Linked DNA regions of Saccharomyces cerevisiae S288C. Changing the gene in region 2 together with the main gene of any one other region gives a genetic interaction. Each region holds a gene or a part of one and is shown on either strand. Other genes may lie near its edges. The genes, in order: GIP2 and IMH1.

Evidence for each region.
Region 1: mutations in IMH1 (region 2) and GIP2 together harm fitness more than expected from each alone (negative genetic interaction), as found in Saccharomyces cerevisiae (one large-scale study listed by BioGRID).

Annotation. Positions count from the first base shown.
Region 1 is NC_001137.3:261,561-265,490, forward strand, and holds GIP2 (Gip2p), read right to left. Parts: upstream 2,139-3,930; coding exon 492-2,138; downstream 1-491. Other genes in the region: HIS1 (ATP phosphoribosyltransferase), read right to left, coding at 3,332-3,930.
Region 2 is NC_001144.5:749,850-753,779, forward strand, and holds the start of IMH1 (Imh1p), read right to left. Parts: upstream 1,921-3,930; coding exon 1-1,920. Other genes in the region: Ras family guanine nucleotide exchange factor CDC25, read right to left, coding at 2,375-3,930. UniProt on the Saccharomyces cerevisiae protein: Involved in vesicular transport between an endosomal compartment and the Golgi apparatus.

The DNA.
Region 1 (3,930 bases), on a different chromosome or scaffold from region 2:
AGAAATATAGGCGCACTTCTGAAGTCATCGTAGGTGAATAAGCAAGTCTTTATCGGCATGTTCGGGGTTTTTTTTACCAATGACGATTTCTGTCACTTAACTTTTTAGGCCTTCCGTGGTCGTGTCATAGCAACCCCTAGTTTTCTCTTCACATTTTGTCGCGTTTCCGTCGCACAGTAAGAGCTGTATAGCGTTGAATGAATGTAAAAAATGCTCACTGAAGGACGGTAGCCTTTACCAGTCTTTTACGTGCCGAATGCACATTTGTATATACGCCCACACACATCGAAGATCGGCTCCCGATTTCTTGTGAGATATTTATCTGTTTATTTGCTTATTTGTGATTTATGTATATTTACTTGAAATATTCTAGCATGTTTTAGAGTTATTTATCGGAGTTCGGTCCCAATCATGAGAGTAACTCAGGCCAAGATCTAGCAAGTCATTTTGCTTTTTATGTCCATTCTTCATCTCCTTCCTTCTGGTTGCCTTCATGCTGCCGCCGCGAAGGGATCGTTAAAGCCATCCATTACAACATCCACCTTATAATTATTCCCGTTGTTGTTGTCCCAGTACTCTTCGCGCTCATAGTCGTTACGTGTAGAATAATGAATGCAAAATTCTAACTTGCCGCGAGGATCCACTTTGCTGACATCATCGATAATGAAGTGGAAAATGTCCATGTTAGTGCCCGGCAATATTCCATCGCCATCACTGATGTAAACGCATTCCACTTCATGTGTTGTTCTCCAACTATCCCACGTATATCGTACCACCACTCTTTTATCATAGAAAATGTTTTTCACTAGTATCCTTCCAGCAATTAATCTTGTACAGCCAGCGTTATAACCCTTGGCCACACCATTACAGTCATTACCATTGTGGCTATTGGGAATATTATAAAATGAGGAGGAATTTGAAAAGTAATTGTTGTCTCTATGGATGTATAATGACAATTCTTGTAGAAAAACTTTCTTATTTTGTGATAAATTGATAAAAATGTTCAGCTTTAAACTTTTAGGATTCTTGTTGCTTAAAATGGGGAAGTTCTTGCTGTATAATCCAACAACATGGTAATTTTTTGAATTACGATCTGAAATTTCATGAGCACCGCCACCATTAACGAATTTTTTATTTGATTTTGATGGTGGCATGTCGGTCCTGTTCTTTAGGAGGTTCTGAAATCTTTTACTTTTTCTTAATTTTGTATTGTTGGTGCCTTTACCATTGTTTGGATTCGAAATTTTAGCAGGATGTGCGAAGCCTTTTGGCGCAACTGTCGTCAAGTCATCATCTATGGATGTCGTTTCTAATCCAGATGATAGCATTTTTGTCTCTTCTTCCGGGTCCACCATTAAATTCACTGGCTTATGCTTAAAGCTTAGACAATTATCGTGTTGTTCAGTTTTATTAACGTTTATAGGGCTTTCATCCTCAGCAAAATATTTTACAGGTGCCGCCTGATCAAAGTGAACACTCTTACTCCTAATCAACATCGGACTACCGTCTCTTGCTTGGACACCATTCCCGCTCCTTATACCTGGGGTTGTAGGTAATGATTTTGATCTTCTCTTCAATGAGCTCTTCAATAGTTCACCTGACTTTTTATATACAGGTGGCGCAAATGGAATTAGAATTTCTTCATCATATTCAAAATTCATATCATTGCCAGGTGACTTAGCTTCGGGATATTCTGCTTGAAAAGATTTTGGTACGGTGGATTTGGGGGAAAGGGGAGGCAGCTCTATTTTGAATGGGGGTCTCGTACTGCCATTTAATGATTCTACGGAAGTGTGATTCTTGGCAGCGGCAATTTTTGACCAGCCGCTCTCATTATCAACGTTTTCATCATTCCCTGCGGAGAAAATTCTTTTGTTTAAATCAGTGTTTCTTTGCACTTCTTCCTCTGGGAACCTGTTCGCTCTCATTTGAGTTACTCTCTGAGGTTTATGTAAAAACTTCAAAGAGTTTAAAGTCTCTTCCGTACTTCCATCTCGTTCTTTGTTGTATAGGTCCGAATTCACTCTGTAACCCTTGAAATCTGTTTCAAGATCTGGTAGCTGCTGGTTTTTATTTCTGTCTAGTTTTTCATTCTTCCTCTCAAACTGTTGGGGTTTCTGTTCTGCCTTTATATACATTGTTGCGTTGATGAAATCCTAATAAACTTGGGCTGTAAGAATAAAATTTTGACAAGATATCTGTACCCGTTCCTATTAAACTTGTTTCTGAGTACAACGGAGATCTTTTTGATGTTCAGCCTACTAAAAACTATACCTTACAGAAAGAAAAAAAAAAGTCCAATGTGGTTCCTTTCTCCTCAATCAAACAGAATGCCAACCTTCCTTGTTTCTTTTCCTTTTTTACTACTAAAAGGTTTTATAAACCAGACTTCTCTCTTTAAACGTCCCGTCAACCCTGCCTTTAGTAACTGCTTTCCCGTCTAGCTTTCTTTTCGTTCCTATTGTTTTAACCGTATTGTATGCAGGTTTACCTTCTATAAATATGCACTGAACTGGAAAGGCTATGTTTGAAAAGCTTTAGTTTTCTTCTGTTGAACGGATGGGCCCTGTGTTGCTTATTACGCAATGCAGTATATATAAAGGAACTCAACCTGAAGAAGAATATGCAAGATATAGAAAGACCGTTGCAATATCGAAATATTTCCTGTTGGATAGAACGAACTTCTTGGCCCCTTCATTGAGAAGCGTAGCTGATACACATTTTTGGTAAAAGACCTCATGGTAGCAGCCCCTTTCCCCTTAAAAAGACTTAATATGGCATACTGTTTTTCTTTTATGCGCTTCATTCCACGGCAAAAAGAACCTTTCCCCGCCCCCACTCTGCGACAGGAGTTTGCCGCCCATCTCCACAATAGGCATAGTTGTCGGTACCTTCCAGCGCTACGTCAGCCTCTTCCGGGCAAAAAATCGACGTAGCATGGAAAAATGCATTCTAGACAGCTTTATGCGTTACGATCCCCAATCTATGCTCCCTGGGGAGAGTTTGTACAGGTTTTCTCCAAAATAAAAATACCTACAAAACTCCGAATATTTATGGGTAGCTCCAGTTTTCGAAAATTGGAGAAATGAAGGGGGTTGAAGAAGAAGGTTTCATGAGCATGAAGACGGTAGTAAAGCTGACAAATATGCTACGAAGATTTAACTTCCTGGGGAAGTAGCAAAAAAAAAGAAAAAATATTCACAGAGATAACCTCAAAACACACTTGGGAAGTCATGAGGGGTAACTTAGAATAAGATAGAACTCTATCAAATTATTGCCTATAAAAAATACAAAATTAATCGGGATTTGGCTTCCCTTTTTCTGTTCTATCTTATACACGACAATTAGAAATTTCGAAAACCATGATATCAGATGCGCCGAGTCTTTTCAATTCATCTAAAACAACACCCTTCGTTTTTCTCTCAATCATGGAACTAACAGCAACCCATCCTTCATCGTCAATTTTGGAAATGGTTGGTGCTCTACGGCCAGGCGTCACCTTCAACAGTTCAGGCAGCTTGTCTTCAGGTGCGTTATAAATACATGAAACGAACCTTTGAGCGGTCATGACACCTTCAATTCTTGATTTGATAGTAGCAATCAAACTCTTATCGCTCTTTGGGTTCTTTGATTCTATTAGGTAGGCACTTGTGCTTAGGACGGTGGCAATATCAACTAAACCTGCTGCCCTCATTGTCTCACCACTCTCTACAAGATCTACAATAGCATCACCAATTCCCAGAGCACATGATGCCTCCACGGAACCACTGACAAACTTTATCCTTGTGGTCATTTTTTCAACAGTAGTACCTTCCAAATCGGCAAAGTATTTTTCAGCAAGTTTCACGAAACTGGTAACAATGGTTTTGCCAATTAACTGTTCTGGCTTTTTATACTCGCCATTTACGGGGACTTGTACCTGCAATTTAC
Region 2 (3,930 bases):
TTCATTTAGTTCATCTTCTAAAGATAAAATTTTTTTTGTAGATTCCTTCAACTTGACATTTAGTTCCTCACATTGTCTTTTGATAGAATCTATGTGTTCATTCGAATTACTTTTTACATTTTGCAAGGTATTGTATTTTTCTTGCAAAATATTCAATCTTTCCGATAATTTACCATTTTCTTTCAAATACTCCTCGTAGGAATTAGAATTCTTTGCGATATCATTATGCAGTGTCTCATTTTCCTTTTTTAATAAGTCTAATCTGTTAGAAATTTTAGCATGATCTTTTCTCAGCTGTTCTGTGGATTTTTCAGCCACGTCCTTTTGCTCACTAAATTGTTTAACTTGTTCCTCCAAGTAACTCACAGTTTTTTCCTTTTGTTTATAAGAGGTTCTTAAAGAAGTAAGCTCCTTTGTTATGTTTGATTTTTCGTAGGTAAGTTGAGATATCTCCTCATTTAATTTGGCTACCTTGTTCTGCGATGTAGTCTGCTCTTTCTCCTTTTCTGTACATAAATTCTTCAGATGCTCTACTTTCTTGCTCAATAACTCTATCTTACTTCTCAACTCAGTATTTTTAGCTTCGTAGGCCTCGATCATCGTTGCATTTTTATGGCGTAAATCATCGAGCTCCAGCTTAACGGTTTTCACTTCTTCATTTTGTTTACTCGAAGACTCTTTAATCTCATCTTTTGCGTCCACAAGCTCATTGCCTACAGTCCTCAGCATATCTCTCACCTCCTCTAGCTCCGAATTTTTTTCTTTCAATGACTTCTTGGTATCGATCAACTCGGTGTTAAGGGTTTCCAGCTCCTTTGCTGATTTTTCGAGCTGTGAGTTTTCCAATTCTTTAGCATCTTTTAGTTCTGCTTCTATATCTTCATACTTTTGCTTCCAATCTTCACAATCTTTATATTTTTCTTGTAATTCTTGCAAATTTTCTTTAAGCTTATCATATTCTTCAGTATTGATTGAGTTATCGACCGTTTCCTCTTCACTGATATCACCCGTAGTTATGCCTCCCTTATTTTTCTTTCCCTTGTTTCTATTCTTTTTCCTTCTGTTATTGTTTCCTACATTTTGATGAGATATCGCCTTCGGTAACTCCTTCATTTTTTTTTCCAATTCACTCAGCTTGCGCTCTTTCTCTTTTAAAGTAATATTTAGTTCTGCCAACTCTGAGGACTTTTCCTCCATTATAGTACTTTTCGAAGACAAATTTTGCTCCAATTCGGTTATCTTCATTCGACTGTCCTCGAGAGAATGGTTCTTTATAGCCAATTCTTCCTTCAGTTCGGATATAGATACTTCTTCTTTCTGTTTTTTGGCCTCCCTTTCTTCCTTTAGTATATTTTCCAGTGCAACTATTTTTTCTCTCAAACCTGAAACAGTATCATTTTTTTCTTTTTGTACAGTATCCAATTCTATGTTTAAAGCTTCCATTTTTTTTTTTAGATCGTCTATGTCATTTTTATAATTTTGCTCTTTTTTCAAAAATTCCTCTTCTTTATCCTTCAGAGTTTCACTAGAGGCGCTTTCTGGAATTTCCGAGTTCTGCTTAGTTAATCTCTTGATCTCATCATTCAATAGGTTATTTTTGTTGTTTAAATCCTGGAAAAAAGCTGGCAACGTATCCACTGCGTCGTCAATATTAGATATGGGTGTATTTTCCGCTAAAATCTTTTCAACAGCCTCTAACTTCTCTGACTTTAATTTTTCATTTTTGTATGCGGAGAGTAGCAAAGGGTATTTTTGTTCATATTTCTCAAATTTTCTTAATTTAGCTTGTATTTCTTTTGGCAAGCCACTCTTATCATCTTCGATTTGTTGTTCTGACGGGGTAGGGCTCATATCATCGGCTAAGCCCTTCGCTAATTCATCGGTAAGATTCTTACCAATTTGTGACAGCTGTTTGAACATTGAATCAGCAAATGTTTCCCTAAGTTAAAATCACCTCAAATGTAACTCCTGTTGCTTACTATTTGACGTTTCTGCTACATTTGGTTCTCTTATATTGCTGGATCTGAAAATCCGAACTATGAGAATGCGGGTAATAGCTTTTCATAGAATCACTAATTGATATTTTTTCAGGTAATAAGTTTCCTCTAATCGGGCATTTAAAATCTTGGATCGATAACTTAACTGGGTGTAATAAAATATATAAAGATATAAAATAGATATATATATATAAAACGAACTTTATCAAGAAGAACTGCAAATGAAGCGTACTCTCAAATCCTCGAAAACGAAAAACACTCCACCAGTACAGTATTATCACGAAGAATATTAAGTAAAAGCAGCCATCTTAAATAATAGAGTGTAGCAATCAAACATAAAGCTAAGGTTCTTCTTGATTAGCAAATTGTATAAACTTTTATCGAAATAACCTAGAAGGAGGTTTTTTCTTACCTAGCTTCAAAAAATTGCCATTTTTATCATCTGTAAATTCACTTAGGAATTTTGCAGTTTTTGTACCGCTAGCAGAAGAAGCATGCGTACTGCCTTTGGTGTTTCCTGATCTCGGTTCCACTTGCAGTGATAATTGATACTGCTTTTCAATGTGGGGGACATTTTCCAAAGACGCTTCTATAACGGTCTGAATATCATCCAATCGTTTCAGCTTGTAATGGAATCTTTTAAAGCTTATAATTTCCTCCACTATATTTGCGATTTTAGTCCTCTTGCTGAAGTTTATTATGTTGGTTGAATTGTGAAGAAAATCTGGGTTTCCGACAAACGTAAATGTTAAATCAGATAGGTATACACCAAAAAAGGGAACACATGCAACGTCCGTCACGGATCGCAACAGCTCTCTATACTTCACAAAATTTCTCTTGGAATCCATAAGGTTGTTTAGGTTCTTCAGAAGGTCCTTCGACTCAGTGGAAACTAAATCCCATGTCTTTTTCAGTCGGTAGATTGGGGAGGAATACAAAGCGGACACTATGGCAGTCATTGAAGAAAAATTATTCAACTCTTTACAATGCTGGGCAACGGTAACAAAATATTGCGTTAATTTTGAACGTGTCTTGACATCTGCCTGTTTTACAATGGTATGAGAAACAAAATTAGTTAGCGTATTAGCATTAGCTATAAATTTCGTAATGTTCGGAGAACCACCCATATTACAATACTTGGTACCCCATGCCCTATCCAAGCATTCAAACATAGTGATCCTGAGGTATAAGTCATGTTCAAGTACAGTCAATTGTGTGGCATATGTGTATGGGTCAATATCCAAGAGCTTCAATTTCTTCAATCTAAAAAACGCTGAAGAAGCAGAAGATGGTAAAGAAGACGAAGACATGTGTATCGGTGATTTATTGTCACGTTTAGTTGTCTGTACGACTGCCGATACCGAATCTTGTTGCTTAGGATCCACTGGTTCTTTCTCATTCTCATTTATCAGTTTTTCATTTATCTTTTGCAAAAGATCCTCTGCCCCCGGTATTTTCTCCGATACAACCATCTTGGCAAAATTTAGAATCAGTGGTATGCCAGGTTCATAATAATTTCTTGTCCAATACTGCGTCAAAAATGTTCTCATAATGTTGACCACACGGCATTTAATCGGGTTTGACTTTTTTTCTATCCAAATATTGTAATCATCGTAACTCAGCCCTTCAGGAGGATACAAGTTGTACCTGTAAATCAGGGCATAAAAAAACTCTCTTGTGGTTAATATACTTCTGAAAGTTATTAACATTGTAACATTGAAAGCCGCATCAACAAGTTCATGACTGGTTAAATGTTCAATCAGTGCCTCTTTTGTCCCGCCACGAATTTTTCCTCTTGAGTCATAGACAAGACTAGTTTCATAATCTGAAGTTAAAAACCATGGAAGGTTTTTCTCTATGTTCGCAGCTTTGCGTTCAATATAGTCCTCAGATCCTAATTCGTCATCGATGATAGCTTCATCATTTTCTGAAT